Linked DNA regions of Neodiprion lecontei. The protein of the gene in region 1 interacts with the protein of each later gene in a pairwise test. Links are inferred from orthologs where the notes say so. Each region holds a gene or a part of one and is shown on either strand. Other genes may lie near its edges.

Region 1 (7,765 bases):
CTTGGGCCGGGTTAAGGCGAGAGCTCTATACGCTTTTATAATGCACAAATGTGAGAATTAATGTCTCGGTCAAGGGGGCGACAGCGTAGGTAAGGAAAAATAAAGATCGTTGCAACAGGAAGAGAGAAGCGAAGCGGACAGAGGAGGGAAAGAAGTCGAGTATGTGACGAGACGCGCCGGCCGGCATCTCTCACATGGCTATCGTCGTCATCAGCGCGTTGTAAACTACAATTCTACACAACTATTACTACTAATAGAAGCGTTATGTAGTTGGGTGAAATTTTTCATTACACACCAACAATGTGTGTGTAGCATCACGGGGTGACACGTATGTACACGCCGCTACGCGCATAGAGAGAGACGCTTAATACACACACGAGCGAGCGATACGCATATCGCACACAACGACGCGCGCGCGAAAGGTTCACCTACTTTTCGGAGCGAAATAGGTAGCTGCGTGTGTGTAGATGTGTACGTGTGTGCGCGCGTGCGTACGTGTGTGTGTGTGTAGTGTACAAATGTCCTCGGTTTGGCGACATATTTGATCCACGCGCGTGTTCAATTGCATGCATCACGGCGGAGCTATAGTCACGCCGCGCAGGGAGATATGGAAAATATATGGAAAAATTACGGGATTGGCACGCGGTTGTGGCGGGGATAGCGGCAAACCCCGAGCCGAGATGAAGTATTGAGGGAAAAATTTTGCAATTACGGAGCGTCCGCGTCGAGAGCGTAGATTAATTGTTGTTATGATGCTTTCGAAGCTTCGCCGATCCACCGTACTAGCTCACGTACATACATACATCTACATACTTATACGTTTAATACACAAACAGAGGGGTAGCACACAACTTACCTCGGCCGGCCTTTTCGTTCCCTTGATTTCGCATTTCGCGTCATCTGAGGTTTTTTCGTTATCAATCGCCTTCTCGACGGCAACGTCGTTATTCTCCTTGGTACTCATGACGACGGTGGTTTTTTTTTCTAATTTGGTAATTGTTAAAACGTAAGAAACTTGTGTGTCTTCGATGCCTCGATTTCGGCGTGGGACACGACACAACGACGGCGGCGTCGGTTTCCGGCGAGTGCACGAAACGCTTACGAAAGCGGAGGACTAGCGGACCTCGGAGCGGACTGAAGCGGACTACTTCACTCACTCGGCGTACCGTCCAACCTGGCTTTGTTCAAAAATGAAGATGGCGCGGGTTTGAAGCTCGATAAATCCCTGATTGGTCGATCTCTCTTCAGGCCTCGCCGCACCTGAAATGCACCGATTAATAAAGTGAATAAATTTTAACATTTCATGAGTAATTATTCAACCTTTATACCTTGCAATCAATATCTATATTGAATAAATAAAATTATTCACTTCCGCGGACGAGGGGTTTGAGAGTACGAAGCGTACTTCGGAGCCCTGGTTCGAGGCTTTGTCGCTTGATTCAAACTGGCTTTAGCGCTGCAATTCGTCGATCAAATTGTTACTCAAATTACGTCCAAAAAAGTTTTTTAACGGTATCTAAAATTCTATTTCGTAAAATAACTAAGCGGAAATAATTCAATCCTGTTAAACTTCCTGACGAGAAAAAGCCGGCTTACCTACCAAATATACGTGGGTATCGCAGCGGCACGTGATACTCTTACTCGACAGTGAATAACGTAGAGAAAAAGATTCCTATTTTATTCGTCATCGGTTCCTTGCTCGAGATATTGATCGAAAGAAGTATCGGAGGTTGAAGAGATCAGAAAACGGTGGAATATATTGGTATTAAACTCATGCGGACAAGTCTACGCAAGCGTACCGCGCAGCTAACAGGCATTTCCGGCCTGCCTCCGCTTCCTTTTTCTTCTAAACAACCAAGATGGTAGGTGAATTGTGTTTTATTTTGTGGAGTTTCATCCATCAGCATCGACTTGCAAAACGAATAGATTGATTTTCTTAATGGAATCATATCATGATCAAACCACCCGAGCACTATATTTCAATTGATATTTCTCTTCAATCGCCAGTTCGCGATCTCGTTCGAAGGGACGACATGACAGACGGTCAACATAACCTCGAAATCCCCTACTGATACTAATAAATCTTAATACGTTGTTAAAAAATCAGTTACCGACGTGGGGACTAGATAAGACGGACAATTCCAAAAATTTCATGTATTGCGCGAGGTTTTTACTGCACGTGAACATCTCATGGGGCTCTTCTGCCTGCATTTCACACAGATACCTGCATCCTGAGCTTAACAACTTTCGTTACAGGTGAACGTACCCAAACAGAGGCGCACGTTCTGCAAGAAGTGCAAGGTCCACAAGCCGCACAAAGTCACCCAATATAAGAAAAGCAAGGAAAGGCATGCGTCTCAGGGCCGAAGACGTTATGATCGTAAGCAACAAGGTTTCGGAGGTCAAACGAAGCCCATTTTCAGAAAGAAGGTACGTATTCTTATTCCATATTACTCGCTAACTTTAATTGCTCATTTGATATTTTACCACAGTTTTTTTTTTTCAAATTTAAGGTAGCTTAAAAATTCTAAAACTTTCCTAAAAAATTCTAATAAAAAAAGTGAGTAATTTTTTTTTTAACTGATGGGAACATTGGTTTTTCATTCATTTCTGGAGTTGTCATGCTTGAAGCTTCTACAGAACTGGACTAACTGATCAGTATGTCATAACCCAGAGAGCATTTTATTGATTGACGTTATTTTCCTTGCAGGCTAAGACAACCAAGAAAATTGTGCTAAGGATGGAATGCACTGAGTGCAAGTACAGAAAGCAAATCCCACTTAAACGTTGCAAACATTTCGAGCTGGGAGGTGATAAGAAGAGGAAGGTGGGTTTTTCAAAACCTAGTGCATCTAGATCGTTTTATATTCGGTGCTGAGATGTGTGGAAATTGATTCCAAACAGTTCAAACTTGTTTAAGTCTTTGTGCCATTTAAATAATCTGAAACAAGTCTCGAAATTCCATATGGTGATATTTCAAAAGCGATTGAAACATTTATCGATATTAGTCTGATGAGAGTTTGAGATATTTGTCCCTAGGAATTTTACCCACAACTAACGCACCTAAACCGAATGGAAGTAACACGCATAAAAATTAATTTAAACCAGTAACCAATTGCAGAATATTTTGTTTTCTATTTACAGGGCCAGATGATCCAGTTCTAAACCTTGCGTTTAAGATTGTAACTATACAAACAAAAAAATAAAATAAATCGTTCAAGATTTGAAATGTGTTTATTTACTAAATGGTTATATCAAACAACAATGCATATATTACGTTTTCTTTTCTTTTCTATCAACTGGGTCTGTCAAAATTTTTCCAACATGACAAATATTTTACTTCGTGAGCGCTGTGAATACTCTTTGTACCTTACTGTTTCATATGCATACTTCCTTTACTCTTCAGTTTATTATCAAGCATCATCCTCATCAGTAGTTGTATTTGTCTCAACTATTTCCGTTATTGGAACCAACTGATCAGGATTGCTGTTTGAACATCAAAGTGTGTTAAATTCTTTGTCACATATTCTGTGAATGTAGTCTTATATTCAGTATATCTTGAAACAAGACACATTTTCGAAATTCTATTCGCATCCGTAATACCTAATAAAACTATTCAAAAAGGTAATTTGAAGTAATTTTGGAACGAATATGCCGATTCCAAAATATCTGCATTTATATTCTTGAAGAAACATAAGAGATTACATGAAAGATCTTGAATAAATATTATATACTGACACAAACTGAAAAGAAGGCTACAGCAGGTCTATGAAGATTGTTTGACATTTTTGTAACAGCATTTCAGCCTATCCCAGTACATAGCCCCTTTCAAATTTTAAAACAAATTCATGTATAAATAGTCTAAATATTAAATGTTAGAAGAGTTATTTTCTGGAAATACTCACTCTAGCAAAAGTGGATCTAGACCCTCTTGTTTCATTTTCAATTTGACAGCCTGCGCAGGTACGCCAAACTGAAGCATTTTAAAGAATTTTGCATATCGTGGATCTTTACTGATGGGTTGCGTGTTACTAATTTCACTTTTTTCATCAATCAACTCAGCTTTCACCGCTTCAATCTCATTTGTCTGGTCTTGTTCCACCGTTTTCTGTTCTTGATCACTTGATTCAGTGATTGGTGAAGACTCTGTCTTTGTTGGAAAGTCAATCTCTGGTATCGACGCGAGCTGATAAAAAAGCACAGCGTCTCATTTTAATTATTCACATACATATTAAATGAAGAAAAAGTGCAAAGTCGACTTAACACTTGCGAATAGTCCCTCTGCTGTAATGTGTGATGCTGAATAAACATGTTAAGATAATTAGTAGTTTTGCTTACCCTAGATTCAAGGATTCCTAGCGACGCTTCAACTTTTTGCAATTTATTTTCAAACTCAAACAGTTTTTCCTCGCAGGATAGAGCGAACTTGTTCAAAAATGTTACTGTATGTACAATAAAATGATTAACGAACGTTATAGTTCTTTTTTGATGAATCGGCGGGACCTAAAAATAAATGTTATTCTATACGTTAGAGACTCAAAATCCAACTACACAAATTTTCGATTTCTGTTAATCTGTACAGGATGGACGCATTAAATGTTAATAATCTATTTACGTCAGCTAAAACTTTTAGACCTTACAGGTCATATGAACTTTGTTTCTGATATTTACACCATGTGTACCCAGATCAGTCCAGATCCAAGTAACTGGCAGACCCAAAATTTAGTTTCGTTGCGCTCATGACTACACATAGAAAACTAATTCTAATTGGCTGCCGAGTAATTAATAGAAGTCGGACGAGCATAGAAATTGTTGGTAGGTATAGAATCAGAAACGCGATTATCGTAGATGATTTTACGATTGATATGTAAACTAATAAAAATTTGAACTGTAGATACGAAAATTGGTGACATGGGAACCGGGGGACGAACGATATCGTGTTGTACCTTGTACGAAGGACTAATTAGGATAAAATTAACTAACCTTAGTAAAGTCAACGGTAGGTTCGATCATCGGAATCCCATAATCGTTCATGTTGCACAGTTTGCTAAGAAGAGAGTGAAATATTGTACAATGTAACCTAGAGTCTCCTAAAGTGACGACTTCTGATGGTCAACTGATTTCTGACATTTCTCCATTTGACGTACGATTTGACGTTTCGTTCCGAGGGACCCTCTAGCAGACACTGACAGAGTCACCCACGCTTGATGACAAATTTACGCGCTGAATTTGAGTAGAGTACATAACCAAGATTCACTCTTTGCGCGCTAACCCTAATAATGCACGTTGCCTGAAGAATATTCTTCAGTCAACGTAATACATCAACCAACACATTGAATTCGTTTTTAACACACAATGAATGGAATTCGAAACGGCGGATTTTGTTATCATAACCACCTCCGCGGTGTTAGTCGAAAGAATACACCGCACATTTCCCACCGCACAAAACAAATACCCAAATACATCAACATATCTACGTACGACTATTTTTGCACATTTCCTAATTGACTATGACAAAGTTATAGTGTTTGAAGGTGCAGAAAGTGCAGTTCAACTTTTCTCTTCAATCGGCTCGACTCATTGTACCTTTATTGTTAAAAACGCTTCTGTACCACAAAATCTAATTGACAATTATCGTCGATATTAATGCATTATACGTATAATATAGTTGTGTGTATAACTTATAAAACTACAATAGATTGTTCTTAATCCCTATAAACTTCCGCATAAACTAAATTTGCATGCTTGAAATATCACAGACATATTATGATACATGTGCAGTGTTCTTTGATGCTCTTCTAACCGGATTTAATTGTGCTTGTCAAATAATATACACTGTAACCGGATATTTTTATATTTGAGGGTATAAACAATATAACGATAATTGGTTACCCTACGGCGCAGTCGCTAACCTAAATAATTAGATAGAGAGAGATACTAAGGGAGAAAGATACAATTGTTGGGCGCCAGACGCACATGCGTCAAAAATAGATAATTAGAGAAAAAGACAACGATAAAGATAAAGGTAATAGATAAAGGTAAGGTCAGGTTCTACGACGGTTTTGCACAGTTCGCTCAGAGAGACAAGATAATGGTAGAGGGGCGGAGTCGAATCCAATAGATAAAATAAGAAACAGGTGAAGCAGGAATAATATCAAATATATTAAACAAGAAGCGATAAGTTTACTGACAAGCAAGTAGCGGAAGAGTTTGCGATACAAATACGATATATGCGATAATTAACAATAGTTACAGCCAGAGAAAGGTTAAGCGAGAGAGTTAACAATTAACGGAACGTTTTCCGAATAAGCGGGAAATATGAGCAAGCTCGCGATATTAAAGGTAATGATTAACACGGTTCTATGACAGGTAGGCAGAACAGAAGAGATACACTGTACTTAAATTAAGCGGTAAGCAAATAAATCATAAAATGTGAGAAGCGATTATAACTCATGCGAAATACAACAATTGAAATAGTTATCACATTACCAGAATGATCAGAAATAGGCAGACAGGGAATTATGAATTACAAGGTAAATTCAAGCGATAGGTCAAATAGAAAATTATTATAAAATATAGAGAATAAAAGATAATACGTAGTCTCTGGTTTGCGGTAAGTGCGAGAGAAAGAAAGATAATAATCGGTACGATAAAAGGTAATTCAAGATAAGGCAAACAATATTCAAGGTAATTAATATGCCACGTACGGCAAACCCAATAGACTACGGACAACTACGATCAGCGATATAAGCGAAGAAAATAGTGAAAAAGATGTTATGCGATATGGCACAATACTCCAATGTCAAATGAACGACGAACGGGACCGCGCAGCGATATAAGATCGCTCCCGCGGTACTCTCACTAAGATGCGATAATCAACGATAATAGATAAAGAGACAGATAGAAACTAATCAGAGAAAATATAACAAAATAGTAATGCTCAGTAGCTAAGATAAAAATTGATCCTTTAACGGAACGCGCTGCTAGACAGCGATATTAGACATTCAAATATTCTAAAAGAGAAAGATAATAAGATAAAGCGATAGTCACTACAATGCGTAAGTAATAATCAACCAGTCGCGAAGTTACTTGCAATAAGACAGAGAAAGGGACAAGATAAGAGATAATAAGGTACGAGCCCAGGTGGCTCAAGCAGACCAACTGCAAGGTAAAGAGAAAAGATACGAGCCCAATTGGCTCAAGCAGACCAACTGCAAGGTAAAGAGAGAAAGAGATAAAGGTAAAGGTACGATATATTGCAAGTAATCTCGTGGCTTCACAAAATAGCAAAGGAACCTCACTTACGTAAAAGAAGATATAGTAGATACTACAGGATGCGGTACACTAGCGATAAACTTAATACAATGATAGCCAAAAAAAAAACTCTATTACAGATATCGAGAACACGTCTTTCTTAATTGACAACTGAACGTAGAGTAATGAGATGAGCGATGATCCTGATTTTCATCGAGCTGGTGTCACGTGATTCTTCCCAAAATTTGCGGTATCTTAATTGGACCAGCTGGTCCCGTGGCCTGGTCCACGGATAGGCGGCGATAATCCCTCGCCGTTTGATGTTCTTTTCCCTCGACGACGGGTATCGAGGTATCAGGACGTCGGAAGGTGGTTAGAGATGTTTTCCTGCAGCTATGCGGTATCGTTGGTGAGAAGGGGGTGGGGTCGTACTGCTCAGGTATTGCGATATTGATGTGTGCGGCAATGTTACGTCACCGGTCTCCTGGACTTGCGACAGACTGTAACTCAC
Region 2 (7,775 bases), on another chromosome or scaffold:
CGTGTAACCGTGGTCAGACGACAAGGAGGAACAATTAGATTTCCGAAAGAGAAGCTAGCTGGAGAGAAACTGAATTTCGTTTGTATTTATCTGTCAGATTGTTTGTCCCATATCCGGGCAGGATGTCAGTTATCTATCGACCCACGCACGTTCTACAATATTATTAATTACGGTGTGATTTCCAATTTGAAAGTTACTAAGTTATATTAATAATAGCAAACACAACAAGCACACCCATCGCGAATAACAATACGCCACCCCTAAACTTCGGGCATACGCATTTATTCGACTCTTTGTCTTATTCCTCTATCATTACAGACGTACCGGCCAGTGGAGTGTATTTCATGATGTACGAATTGCTTCAGAGATGGTTGACACCTGATGGTGGAAAATTGGGTGTTGTGTCGACTATTTTTGCCGGTGGTATGGCTGGAATTGCAAATTGGATCGTAGCGATACCCCCAGATGTATTAAAAAGTAGACTGCAAACTGGTAGGTGAACGAGCCAACGAATTATGACTAAATTACTGCCATGTCCAGTGATACGCAAGCAATCGTTTATTCTTCTTCATCGTTCAACTAGGGGGTGAAGGTTTTAACGTGTGTTTCTAATTTTTCTAAAGCACCGGAAGGCACATACAAAAATGGAATTCGTTCTGTATTCACTCAACTGATGAAGGAAGAGGGACCTCGTGCACTTTACAAAGGATGTGCTCCTGTAATGCTCAGAGCATTCCCTGCAAACGCAGCTTGTTTTGCCGGCTTTGAAGTGGCGATGAATTTCCTCAATTTGGCAGCTCCGAATTTATAACGATTACTGGATCACCTATTTTCACACCCTCGTCGGTGTTATAATTTTTGAAAAACTGCCTTTACTAACTGAAGAATCTTATACAGTATATAATATTATATATATTATTAGTTAAGAATAAGTATATGAATATTGTGAAGAACTGCTCTATCGATAAGTATTACGGATATTAATCGAAATGATTTTACAATTTTATACACGCATTTTATAACCGCCATAAAGTCGGCCCAACCCCCCATTTTTAAAATCGAAACATTCTTCAGTGTGGAATGTTGTTAGCGATTGAACATTTTTATTTAACTCTTGGAAAAAAAAAAAAAATAAGTAAGTGATGTAAAAAGTGGCCAAGCACATTGCAAATTGTTTAATTTCTAAAAGTCCTGTTGCTGAGTAGATAAGCAAAATGATGACTTAAAACGTTCAAAGTTATAATATTGCATTGCTGAGCAGTGCTGAATTCTTATTAATTGATCATTGTCGTAGTTGTCATTATTGTTTCATTGAATAAGACATAGAATAGAGATTTTTCTACAATCATAGACTCCAGTAGATTGCGTGAAAGTAGAGATGGCTGGTTTTATCTAATCTAATTGCTGACAGATACTACGAATATCATGATACCAATATCGTAACCTGCCCACAAAATTAAAGATCTACAATTCTTTACGGTTAATCAATATTCAAAGTTGTTTTACTTCATTGCATATCTTACGAATAACAATGTACATTTGATATAGGATATGAAACTTATTATAGATATGCGATGAATTTTGTACCAATATTTTTATTATTGTTGACCTTTTCTTGTATCGATTTACCAATACATCAAGTACTGTAATTGTTAATACTGACCAGCTTTTAGTTGAAATTGCGTGAAATTAATTCAGAAATTACGGCTATAACAACTGATTGAATTATGTACACGACAGCAAAGAAGACATTTTCTTTTTTCTTTTTATCGTTATTGTTGGAATATATATTTTATCACTCTCTGTGTATGTTTTTATACAGCGAAAAAGGAAGTTTCAAGTAGCAATCTTAGTCTATCATTCCTCCCAATCATCGGTATCAGGTTGCGAGTCTTGTTCACTTGCGGCAGAATTTCGCTCCGAAGTAGCGGACTCGTTTGGTTTCGGAGGTGGAGGAATCATAGCGGACATTCTGCCCAATGCGCCGGTAGCTGTTCCAGAAATACCTCTACGTCTGAGTGATAATTTGTTGTGTAAATCTGCCATTAAATCGCCCCCAACGAAAGCAGAAGACCATTTATCTGTATTTTCATCCTTACGTGCTGCACTCCTTAATTTTGCTCTACCAACTCCGCCCGCGTCGCGGATAGCTGCCATTAGGCTAGACCGATTATCGACCTGATCGACATTTGGAACAGATTTAACAGACTGTGTTTTAGTGTCTTTCGTAACCGATGATGACAATTTTGGAGGTTCGACAAGTGAAGGAGGAGGCGGAGGAGGAGGAGGAGCAGGAGCAGAAGGTGGTGGTTGAGATGTCGAGATTGAAAGTGTGGAGGGATTGGGAGGAGGAGGCGGTGGTGGCCCAGGATGAGAAACGTTACCGATCTCAACCGGAGGTAGAGGTGGTGGAGGATTTTGCTCCGATGATATGCTTGGTAGGCTCAAATTTGGAAGGCTAGGTTCATTTTCTCTACTGTTTTGAGGTTCCATAGTTGCGTCGGGGGCAGAATCAGACGGAGCTGCTGGTAAGGGCAGGTTCACAGTCGGTGTTGTTACCACCGAAGATGGAGCAATTGGACTCTGACTGTGTAGGTCAAGCACAAAACGTTCGTCATCAACTATTCCTGGCAGGTCTGGGAGACTGAGAGGTACGTTTATCTGTGGAACCTGAAAACACAAATGGTATAATCGTACAATCAATTCTTCATAAACGCTGTGCTAGTTTTGAAGTTTTAAACATTGATCATGTGGTATCTATCATCAATTGAATAATACAAACTAGATCTAGTTCTCATACCAAATTTAAGTTGTTAGTGAAGTGTGAAAGTGAAAAGTAAATCTGTTTGATCTGAGCATTCAACTTCTTTGTACTCATAATTTTTTCTTTTCAAATCTAAAGTACCGAAGTGATGAGTTTACAGTATGTTTGTAATATCCACTGAAAAAATGCAGTTTCATAAGATTTGATAGTCGGTACCCTTGTATTGAAAGTAGTAGCATGTTCTAGAACAGTTACGAATTTCTTTCAAATTTCAAACCTCGATCAGTTAAAAAAATAGAGAAAATATTCAAGAAATTTTATATCTTTCAAACTAAAAGCCCTTGTTGGTATAAATCTTAAAAAACGTACTTCGCCTAACGTTGGAGCATAGAAGTAATTTGATGGAGATTCTAGATCATTGGTGTGCCATGACTGCAATATCGAAGTAGGAGCATCTTCGATTTCCCTCTTGTCATTAGCCGATGCCAGGCTTTTTGCGGGAAGTTTACCATACTGGTTGTCTTTGGCGTCGTGTAGCAGTAGCGAACTGACAGAGGTTGGTCTAACTGGAATAGCTCTAGAATGTCCAGAGCCCTTGCCTTTATTTGTTTTACTTTTGACGTGATAAAATTGCAGCTTGTCTTGTATGTTGATGTCAACGTTCCACCGCCCGTCCTTTGACTTTTCGGTGACGATATTTTGCGAGTTCAACTCCTGCGCTATGGGAACTGGGCTCTTATAGACGCTCGGCGGTTTATCCTCCTTTTTAATTGGCAGTTTTAGAGCCAGCGGATACTCTCTGTAGACATGATTCGAGGGGTATTTTGCTGCAGAGTATAGCTTCACCGCCTTCAAGCTTAGGTTATTTTGCAGGTGGTCTAATCTGCCCTGAAGTTTCACAGCGCGACCTTTTATACCGGCTAATCTGTAACAACGTATCAAAGATGAGATTTTTTAGTATATTTTCCAACCATTAGTTCTTTTCTTCTACCTTGTGAAAAATGAAAACGCTAATTAGTTATTCTTTCTTCAATCTCTGAGAGTGAAGACCAGATTTGCGCTACACAACTACATTTCATAACGAAAGAACACAAACAACTTTGTCTTGAATACCTTTTTGTATTTTCCGATAACCGCTCGTCGATACAGCTAAATATGCTTGCTACAGCAGAGTTGAGCGAATCTAATGCTTCTGCAATCTGGACTATGGTTTCCTCCTGTCGCAAATCATGCGGAATCACACCTGAAACACGATGCTGAAAATTAAAACTTGCCGAAGAGAGAATAATTATTTGTTTAAATAAATATTATTGTGACTGTTATTGTCATCTGATATTTAAAGATTAAAAATCATACGATTTCATAACGTTATCTATCCAAAGATCATAGATTATTTTGCATAACACTGTGGTCTGCGTTCGAATGAATTTGTTTAGAAATCTCATCTATCTCTCGAATCAATTAAAAACAATGCGAATGACTGATGTTTGAGTATTTATAACACGAAATGTATAAAAATTACGCCGAATGTATCATTATTACCAATTTCTATGTGCCCCTGCATTTCTCCTGATTCGATAAGGTCAATTTTTATACAAACAAACGACGATTGATTCAAATATCAATCCGACGCCGGCTCCTTCCCCCGAAAAATGTATTGACACTTAACAACAATCGCGAACCATTAACTCATCGCCATAAACTCTCTCATATCATTCGAGTTGTATTTAAATCTGGTTTAAACTACTCAAAACAAGTGCTACTGCATATCGTCTGCATAGGCGAACGACTGCCATTCTTAGTTCTGCCACTTTACGCCCATTAATTCTTTATCAGGTTAGGTTATGTTAGGTTCCGTTCCGTCCGTCAAAAACTGGCCAAAGATTGCAATTCTTTACCCAGTTTCGAATCGAATCCAAAGCGCGAGGCGGCTGAAGATCGCATGCGTAGCAAAGAGGATGAGAAAAGAAAATACGAACGCAGATTGATTTCCGTGATTATAATCGCGGCTTCGTGCAGTCTGTAATAAATTCAAATTTCAAATAACGGCCGCACTTAAAACCCATTCGCGATCCAATTCGCAATCGACCGCCTTAAGGAGAGTAAAGATGGCGGCTTGACGATTCCTGGCCGAGTGAATTCAGCCGGTGGATTAAACGGGAGTAGTGAGTTAAAAAGGGTATCGCTGGGTTAATGAGAGGTTTCGATTTCGTCGACGATCGATGCAGAAACCGCCTAGGTTTTAGTTTCTGTAAAATAAAACGATAATCCATCGATCTCTGCATACGCTCGAGCTGGATTTGTTGAAGGTGGTGTAGATGCTCGTAACTGTTGGAATCGCAGTATCCTCGATCTTCCGATTGTTCTTCAGCTTGTAATTTTCGTCGGGTGGCTAGAATTTCAGGCTCCGTTAATCTGTACAGAAATCGTGGTATTCCTCGACTACTCTTAACCTCGTCGTCGTCGATCATGGAGGCCCTCATTCCAGTGATAAATAAACTCCAAGATGTATTCAACACCGTTGGTGCTGACGCCATACAATTGCCTCAAATCGTCGTTCTCGGAACACAGGTTAATTATAATTTCACCTATACTATTGACAATGTGTCGGTACGTTTCAAACCATTGATTTAGACAGTCTCGCGTTTCTTCCTTAAAAGCCCGATCTTGCCCTCGGATCCTTGATCCTTTATCTTTGTGATCCTACTTGTCGTCGATATGACTTTTTCAGGTATTGTATTTCAAATTCGAAGAATATTATACTAAAATTATTTTACTTCACTCATTAAAATTACTATCGTTTAAAAGTTTCTATTTTTATCGATGATTTTTACTAGTTTTAGCATTTTCTTACAGTTGAATTTATTTTTTGCTGATGAGACCAGTGATGAAAGAAAACATATTTTTTTTCTTTTCCTAATGGAATCTTGCAAATCAATTCTTTGAAAACACTATTTTTTAATTTTATATCCATCTTTGGTTTCATTTTTACTCCTAAATTATTCGTCCACCTTAACGCCTACTTTCATAAAACATTTCTCCAATTTTTAGATTCTCATTGTTAGGTTACATTGCATGATCTGTGAATGACAACAAATATGAATTTTCTTAACAGGATCCAGCAAAAACTATTTTTCCAATTCAACAATCATTAAAATGAACATACAAGTGAAACTTTAAAAAAACGTTATCCCATTCCAAAATTACTTTTCTTTCATTACCACTTCCGGTATTAGTTATTTAGTGATTGCTAATGATTTTCAAAGATAAAAATTTTAATCCCTGTGCTAAACTATGAAAACACTTATTCTTGAGGTTGAGAGTTATCAGAATTGTTGATAAATTGAAATGAATCTAATTCCAGGAATAATTTTCTACTATGAATTAGAACTCCAGAAAACTGTGCAGTCACAAATAGTTTGGGAAAATGTTTATTTCTATGATGAATTACCTCTTCCAATTCCCTTGTGTTATCCATACATTATCCCATTTGAGAATGAAAAGAATATCCGACAAATGAAATGAGAATATATGTTTTCCATTGTATGCAGAGCTCCGGGAAATCGTCCGTCATAGAGAGTTTGGTAGGCCGCTCGTTTCTGCCCAGAGGGACTGGTATAGTGACTCGTAGGCCGTTGATTCTTCAGCTCGTTTATGCGCCGAAAGATGACAGGGAGCACAGAACAGCCGAAGATGGGACGCTGACCCTTGACGAGTGGGGTGTATTTTTGCACACTAAAAATAAAATATTTACAAACTTCGATGATATCAGATTGGAAATTGAGGCTGAAACGAATCGGATGGCTGGATCCAACAAGGGAATTTGTCCTGAACCGATTAATCTGAAGGTTTATTCAACCTCGGTTGTAAATCTGACACTCGTCGACTTGCCAGGGATCACCAAGGTCCCCGTTGGCGATCAGCCCGAGGATATTGAAGCGCAAATCAGAAACTTGGTTCTGAAACACATTTGCAATCCAAATTCCATAATATTGGCCGTTGTAACCGCAAACACGGACATGGCGACCAGCGAGAGCCTCAAACTCAGCAAAGACGTTGATCCCGATGGAAGGAGAACCCTCGCAGTTGTTACTAAACTGGATCTAATGGACGCTGGTAATTTGACCAACTAAATAGTAACTTTGAACTGATATCTGATGTATTGAATTTTGTGGCGACGTATTTCTTTCTATCCTTCTTTTTTCTCTCTTAAACTGGAGTTAAGTTTAAGAATTGATTTGATTAGCTAATCTTGATCTGAAAATTTGTCCCGAAGAATTATATTTTTCTTGGAATTATTTTATCATTCATTTATACAACCCTGCTTGAGAGTCGCTTGTTATTTTGGGTTTGAGGAACGGATGCGATTGATATCCTGTGCGGACGGGTGATTCCTGTGAAGCTGGGGATCATAGGAGTTGTAAATCGTTCACAGCAAGACATAATGAATAACAAGTCTATCCAGGAAGCTCTTAAGGACGAAGCTGCCTTCCTGCAACGAAAATATCCTACTTTGGCAAACAGAAACGGCACTCCTTACTTAGCAAAAACCCTCAACAGACTTTTAATGCATCATATTCGCGATTGCCTTCCCGATTTAAAGGTAAGCCTTTGCTAAATTGTTAGTCAGGAGAGCATGTAAATCTGGTCCCTTCCTTCGGCCATGTAACAATTATTTATTCAAACAACAGACACGCGTGAATGTGATGGTCTCCCAATTCCAAACACTTTTAAACTCATACGGAGAGGATGTGGGAGACAAGAGCCAGACACTGCTTCAGATAATAACCAAGTTTGCGAGCAGTTACTGTTCGACGATTGAGGGAACAGCAAGAAATATAGAGACTACCGAGCTCTGTGGAGGTGCTCGTATCTGCTACATATTTCACGAGACATTTGGACGAACACTAGATTCCATTCATCCACTGGCTGGTCTAACTAGGATGGATATTTTGACTGCAATTCGAAATGCGACGGGTCCCAGACCGGCTCTCTTTGTTCCCGAGGTCTC
Region 3 (7,011 bases), on another chromosome or scaffold:
GTTACACGAGTAACGAAGACTCGGTGTTTGAAGAAGATAATTAAATCATCACGCGAGGCTTTCGTGTCACACCTCGTTGCTGATTAGCAATTAAGACATGGCCGGGTTGTCGCGAATTATGTACACGCTGTCACGCTAACCCCTTGTAAACGATAAATTATTCGTAGCGCCGTAGAGTTTGCGATAAAGAATTAAACGTCTTGCGAGAAAAAGTAAAGAAAAAGAATCATTCTCAATTTGTCAAGATAATCGCTTCGAGTTTATTAAACATCTTCGTATCACTACTAAAGTATCTTAAACGCAATGCGGATGCGTCGTGACGTCAATGCGCACTGCTCGTAGGTAATTTGTTAGTAAAATTTTCAACTAGATGTCCAAAAAATGAATGTTGTTGGTGGTTTTTTTTTAAAAAATACATACTGATTACAGATAATTTTTGTGAAGTTTTTATAATCGATACTGGTGGAAAAGTTTTAGCGCTCTGTGAATGTATGACTGGAGTATAATATAGTATATAATGCAGATAACGAATCGTTTTATCAAATGAAAATATATTTACCACGCGGGCATCCGCTACTATAAATAAATTTTTTTATATGCAGTTCATAAAATATTCATGCAGATAATACAGCTGACCCCAATATGCCGGTAGTAAAAGGAAACTAAATTACGAACAGTCTTTATTCTTCAAGAAGTTGGATCTAAAACGATCGATACAAAGATCTATTCCCGAGACAAAAAAAATTGATCAAAAGTTTTTCCTTGTTTCAAAATCACGGAATTTTGAAAATTTATAAATCTGGAAGAACTGATCGCGTGCGAAAAATTGAGAAAAAAAAAAAAATCAGCGACAACATTGTCGCATAGTGTAATAATAAAGTCCTGAAAATTAACGAACAATCTCAGTTCGAAGCTGAGAAGCATAGCTGCATTTTTTTAACAGAAATAGAACAGCTTATCGTTAATGAATACGTGTACAATTTGTAGACTACACGTGGGTACGACGGCAGTGCCTATCTTGAGTCAATAACACTCGAGACTAATCGCTTAATTATTCAAATGCATGTTCAAGAACTCTGCTACCTGTTTACGTATGTCTAACGAGTCAAAAGTTTTTGTATCTCCGCGGTGTGTCGTTAATTGTAATCGTACAAGCGCGTGTCTGTGACGTATGAAAGCGACAAATTGGTGTGTAAAGAATTGGCCAAACAAGTTTTTTCATCAATTATTTAACACCATGCAGCCTGATTTGGAGAATATTCGACAAATTTGTCGTGGTAAAAAAAATCGTTCGTTTCGTAGAAAAGAATTAGAATTACGCAATGGCCAAAAGATCAGCTCTTATCATCCTAGCTGACAATTAATTATGTACACATGTAACGAATCGGTGCAGGAGAAAATCACTATTTCCGGATTCTGAAATAAACTGAAGTTAACTTTGCGACGGAAAAAAAAGGAGGAAAGGAAAATATAAGCAGGGCTGATTGAATTTCGGAAAATTCTATGGTTGTTAAATTATAACGATAGTTTTCAACTTGACGGACGACGATTACTCCGGCGATCTGTAATCGTCAAAAATCAAGCTGACCGGGAATTTTGCCTGATGGAATTGGAGAGGTACACATAATCCGGGATTAACCAGCAGGCAGTGACGAACCTGGGAGTCAATTTCGACTCCCTCGCAATCGGTTCGTTCAAGGTGAACGCGCAGGCGCCGAATGGTCAACAACGGATACCTGGATACAGGATAAAATTTTACCATCGGAATGAATATGATATCAGGTTTGGTTCGTCCCAATTTTTCCAGCTATTCCAGCCAAATAAATACGATTTTCTCACTGATAAATCACTTAAGAGTGGCAAATTTTTCAATAAATAACATTACCTTTAACATCGTTAAACTGTCAACTTTATACTCAAATCTATTTCCTAACTACAGGCTCTAATTTTCTTAGAAACGAATGAAAGAAAAGAAAATCAGAAGAAAGCATTTGTTACAAACAAGTAATATTATACTTTTTTTTATTCAATTAACGTAACACTTACAGCTCCATTTACGCGAACCTATAAAAACGTGCCAAGGACATTTTTTAAAGACACAAATTCCAGGATTGTAAATTTACAGAATTCCCTGACTTTTGCCAGTTTTTCCAGTTTTCTCTGTGCGTACGAACCCTGAATTTAAATTAAACGAAGAGAGACAGAGTGAAATACGAGATATCATCGTCGCTCTGGGCAAGTATCTTATCTTATCAGTCCCGTTGGCGCTCTTTATACTTCGGGTTTCGTTCTCGCTTTTACGCGCCGTATGTACACACATGCATATTTTATTGACGAACCGAGCCGAGATAAGTGACGATGCGCTTTCTGCCGACTGTATTACGCACCTCCGTTATTATTCACCATTCAGGCATAGCAGGTAAGTAGCGGTGCGTGTGGTGAATAAGCGAATGCGGTATATAATCATACGGAATAATCAAATACCTGCGCCAGTTGTCGCAGCACGTGTGTAGCGTGTATTCAGGTGTAAATTCCGAGATTCTTGATGCAGGAATTCGAATCGCTTACTCGGAAACTAATTGTTACGCGCAACTGAAATCCGAGAATCGATTGTCCGAGCTTTTGTAACGCGGCGTGAGAATCGTACAAAGCCAAACAAGAACAGCGGTTGTAAGTTCGTTTCGTAGCGCGGATGTAAAAGTGGATTATGTAATGCAGTTGATGTTTGTCGAGCCGCAAGCTGAGTCCACCCGACACAAGTTACACACGTTTTGTCACGAGTTATGCCGGTGCAGTTATAGCCGGAAAAGAAAGGCGGATCATTATTTACCTTAGCATTCTACTCTGTGAAGGAATGTTCTCCCGACCTCAAGACATATGAAAATCGACGAATCTAATGAGGAATTCGAACGAGTAGGAAGATTAAGATTACACAAGCGTTTTGAGTTACGCTTCTCCAGCAACGAACAAGAGACGCTCGACGAGCGTGTATTCAGTTATCTATCCGAAGTTAGATCTCACGCTAGTTCCGGTTGACAAACTGAGATACCAACAGTTAATATGTGCCGATTGCCGTTTGGACATTAGTCCTGATACATCGCCGTTTGCATTCCTACACTCTGCTGGGAGCAATTTATTGAGGCGGGATTCTCACCGTTCCGAGTTGGAGTCGGTTTTTGGATACAAAAGAAAACCACCCCCCGCATAGCCGGCGCCCCAACTGCCATGTGCCGCCCTCGACCTTTTCCCGTGACAAGGTTCAGCGCCACGGCCATTGGCGGGGCGTAAAATTGATCGGTTTAATCACAACGGCGCGTAACTTTGATGGGAGGTTCGGAAAGGCAAGGAGCGACCCTTGGAGCGTGCTGTCAAACAACAATCACATGATACCGTGCGATACTCCGAACGACCCATCCCAGCTCGAACCTGCGGCCAACATCAGACGGTGGCAAGATGTCAGGCATTTATTGTCGGGTTGACGTCTATATCACTCACCATATCTGCTCCGCGTCTTTCCAGGTATCCAAACATTTCACCGACACTCGAAACACCCGACAAATTAACCTCCGATACACCTAATGTGTCACTTTATCGCCCGTAATATCTATCCGCAAACACAGAAAATGGCGTTACTCACTTGCCAGTGACACGACCGACTCGATTCTGCTACTCGAGCGCCGCTCGCCGCCTCGAAGGGGTGGTCACATTGCGAACTACTTACTACTCGAACACGTACTTACGTATCGAGGAGATGCGCGTCTGCAGTTTATTTCCGAGGTTCGTCTGTTTCGGTTAACCGAGTAGCTGATTGGTCCGTTCCAGCAGAAACTCGATGGCAATTGGTGTACGCACAATTGGAAGCAAAAATTGCCCTTGGAATTAGTCCGGTGTGTATAATTATAGAGAAGTTGCACCGTTGGCAGTTTTTATGACTTCACTATTAGGTTAGGTCGCCGAAAGGGGGACGCTGATAATTTTTGAGTTGGGAGTATTGACGAGAATGCATTTGTTTCATTTCAATGTAATTGTAAATAATGCGATGGTTTTGGAAAAGGATTCTAAAGATCTGGGTGCCTTATTTTGTAACTTTGCGGCAACGTTAAAGAATAAAGTATTCAGATTTAAATCAACGCCTCATGTCCGGGCTGGATAAGTATGTGAAGTCAATACCGACACTACCGTTCTTCGAGTGTTGAGCGCGAGTGAATTCATAGGTCGGCTACAATCGAGGTTTTGATCGAGATCGATATTCAATTGTTAGTGAAACGAAGTCGGTTAAATTTCTGTCGCGTCGTAAAGTGACGTTTGTTAGTTTTCAGAAAATAATTGACGAGTCAACATTTTCATTGTAATTTGTGACGGGATTATCAACACGTCATGGCCGATGATGCAGAGCAGGTAACGCATTTTATTTTTGTTAAGATAATTCAATCCCTAACCTCAACTAACCTAAAATTTTGTCGGTCTTCAATACAGGTTCCTGCCATCAACGTTAAGGAACCGTTAGATCTAATCAGACTCAGCTTGGACGAACGAATTTACGTCAAAATGAGAAACGAAAGGGAACTCAGAGGAAGACTACACGTAATTCTGTTTTAGGAATCTTATTTTGTCAAATTAGTACTGTGTCGATGCATACCAAGCGCTTATTAGGAGTGCGATTCTCTAACACTGATTGATAGATAACAGCGGCACTTCAGTTAGGCGAGCAGAATAATAGTTGCTATTTGCAGTATTATTATTCTTATTAAGTTATAACGATTTGCTAACATAAAGTTAGTGACAATCGTTATTTTCAAGAACCATCGGTCCTCGTCAAATAATAAAAATCAAACAAGTTGCATTATTGTGATAAAATTTTGCGATCCACATTCTATTTCTTCACAACATAAGATAGAATGTCAGCACTGCTCCCAATATTGGAAATTTTAAGTAAACAATAATAACTCATATTTTGATACAATTACCTGACCTACGATCTATTTAAATGAGAATTGATTCATTGAACAAATGGTGGTTAATCATTTTAATTTCAGGCCTATGATCAACATTTAAATATGGTTCTGGGTGAGGCAGAGGAAACTGTAACAACCGTTGAGATAGACGAAGAAACCTACGAGGAAGTTTACAGAACGACTAAAAGAAATATTCCAATGTTGTTTGTTCGTGGCGACGGTGTCATTCTGGTATCTCCGCCAAGCATGAGGGCGCCAATCTAATCCCTACTGACGTAATTAACTCTAAAATAATTTAAAAACAAATAATCACTGGATAAGCTTATGCTACTATTACAGGCAATAATTGATGCAAATAAAATGAACTTTGTGTATGAAAACGTGAAGAATGGAAAAAAACTTAGGCACGCTGTCCTTCTTTCGAAATAGATATTAAAAAATTTTTGTATTATGCTGAAGCTTAACTGATTATCAGCCAAAATTCAATCTACTTCAGTCTAATTTTATGAAGCAATGAAATTGATTTAAAAAATTAGGAATATTACTCACTTGATACTTGTCGACTCCTCATTCAATACGAACATCAAATTATTCACGATTATTTAAAACGCAAAATATATTAGCTCACATTACACACAATTGGAGTAAATAATTCATGAGGCAAAATGCTTTTAGTTTCGAAATGTTACATGCAGATTGAATGAATTCATTGTTGCCTGGTGCAGTTACTTGATTCTAATACCGCAAGACATAATTTGCAAGTTCGATAGTATATTTCTCAATGAAATCCCGCAAACTACAAGCAGATTATCATATTACAGCGATTTGTAGACACGGATTCAACAGACTCTATACAAACTTGTAGGGTATCAGCCTACACTTTGCTGTTCCGACTTTTTGGTAAGCCAGAGCCTAAGAGATGTGATTTACTACTGATCGATGACTCCTGTGGGTTTATTATTTGCGCCGTCAAATCGGAAATTCTCTGATCTTTTAGCTTCATCAAACTTTCGAGATGCGAGACTTTGTGGTTCAGACTATGTATCGTTTCGTTCTTCTCTTGTAGCTCCGTTTTCAGTTTTGTAAAAACCTGACGAGGAACAGTCCTGTTCGCAATCTCATCTGGATTGAGCAAAGATCTCACCGTCTCTATATAACAAATTGTTAAATTAGATATTTCTCCAAATCGTTTGTCTATTTTTTTTAAAGTTTGAACAAACGTCACCTCAAGTGTATAAATCTTGATTACGCAGATGCACGGGTGAAAAGTATTAAAAAGTATTGTTGTTCAGTAGATAATTGATTGAAAAAATTGAAAATTAGAATTTAAAATCATATTTTTATCAGACCATGCAATTTGGTTCAATTCGCGGTTCAATGATTGAACTAAGTTGCAATTTTGCGAGGCCTGAAAAGTTATGCTTGCGATATCCAGTCTGTTCTACCTCCCAGTCTATCAGCGTCTCTGTTCTTACCACCTCTGCCATTTTCTTCGTGATCAAAATACAGGGAATCTCTGTCGGCATTGCAATCCTTCAGTATCTTCGCTCTCAAATTGCTCAAAACCTTTTCAATTACACCTTGCTGAGAGTTGGCCAATTGACTGATAACTTCCTTGCTCAGTTTCATATCAAGTTTCGATAAAACCTTTCGGTTCAACGTAGCCCAGTTATCAATTTTCTTTGCGATGCTACTGCCGGCGATGTAATTGTGAACGTCAACGTAACGAGGATAATACTTCTTCAACAATTCGGCCATCAAAACTAAATTTACATCGGCAAAGAAGGATTTTTTTGTCAGTGAAAATCCTTGTAATCATTTATCACACTAAAGCCTGTGTGCAAAATTAACAACGGTATTACTTTTGGAGTTTGGATAGCTAACAGATTTACAAAACTATCATGAAACGATCACATGTGTGTACAACACATGTTTCCATGTTCCACTATTAATATACACACCAGCGTCTGAGAAATCACGCGCAATGTTTCTCTTTGGTCTGGAGAACTGAATTTGGTCTATCCAAGCGTAGATTTCTTCCACGGCTTCTCCTTCT

What was found.
Region 2: the proteins of WASH complex subunit 3 (region 1) and WASH complex subunit 1 interact in binary tests that used the Caenorhabditis elegans proteins (3 or more experiments, as listed by UniProt). The link is inferred for Neodiprion lecontei from reciprocal best matches to the Caenorhabditis elegans genes ddl-1 and ddl-2.
Region 3: the proteins of WASH complex subunit 3 (region 1) and wiskott-Aldrich syndrome protein family member 3 interact in a two-hybrid assay, tested with the Caenorhabditis elegans proteins (2 studies listed by BioGRID). The link is inferred for Neodiprion lecontei from reciprocal best matches to the Caenorhabditis elegans genes ddl-1 and wve-1.

Annotation. Positions count from the first base shown.
Region 1 is NC_060262.1:41,779,769-41,787,533, forward strand, and holds the start of WASH complex subunit 3, read right to left. Parts: upstream 5,191-7,765; 5' UTR 5,035-5,190; coding exon 4,984-5,034; intron 4,504-4,983; coding exon 4,339-4,503; intron 4,187-4,338; coding exon 3,906-4,186; intron 3,826-3,905; coding exon of another isoform or gene 3,807-3,825; exon of another isoform or gene 3,739-3,806; intron 3,487-3,738; coding exon 3,414-3,486; 3' UTR 3,166-3,413; coding exon of another isoform or gene 3,145-3,165; 3' UTR 2,828-3,144; coding exon of another isoform or gene 2,711-2,827; 3' UTR 2,431-2,710; coding exon of another isoform or gene 2,257-2,430; 3' UTR 1,863-2,256; coding exon of another isoform or gene 1,860-1,862; 3' UTR 1,329-1,859; intron 1,261-1,328; 3' UTR 857-1,260; intron 1-856. Other genes in the region: 60S ribosomal protein L44, read left to right, coding at 1,860-1,862, 2,257-2,430, 2,711-2,827, 3,145-3,165. UniProt on the Caenorhabditis elegans protein: Acts as a component of the WASH core complex that functions as a nucleation-promoting factor (NPF) at the surface of endosomes, where it recruits and activates the Arp2/3 complex to induce actin polymerization, playing a key role in the fission of tubules that serve as transport intermediates during endosome sorting.
Region 2 is NC_060264.1:30,291,828-30,299,602, forward strand, and holds WASH complex subunit 1, read right to left. Parts: upstream 4,778-7,775; 5' UTR 4,709-4,777; coding exon 4,663-4,708; intron 4,571-4,662; exon of another isoform or gene 4,329-4,570; coding exon of another isoform or gene 4,307-4,328; intron 4,008-4,306; coding exon 3,878-4,007; intron 3,690-3,877; coding exon 3,134-3,689; intron 2,671-3,133; coding exon 1,858-2,670; 3' UTR 1,576-1,857; downstream 1-1,575. Other genes in the region: congested-like trachea protein, read left to right, coding at 319-492, 624-811; dynamin-1-like protein, read left to right, coding at 5,234-5,335, 6,316-6,880, 7,120-7,367, 7,456-7,775. UniProt on the Caenorhabditis elegans protein: Acts as a component of the WASH core complex that functions as a nucleation-promoting factor (NPF) at the surface of endosomes, where it recruits and activates the Arp2/3 complex to induce actin polymerization, playing a key role in the fission of tubules that serve as transport intermediates during endosome sorting.
Region 3 is NC_060260.1:25,384,341-25,391,351, reverse strand, and holds the start of wiskott-Aldrich syndrome protein family member 3, read right to left. Parts: upstream 3,657-7,011; 5' UTR 3,496-3,656; intron 1-3,495. Other genes in the region: U6 snRNA-associated Sm-like protein LSm3, read left to right, coding at 4,378-4,398, 4,477-4,584, 5,037-5,219; sperm flagellar protein 1-like, read right to left, coding at 6,372-6,713.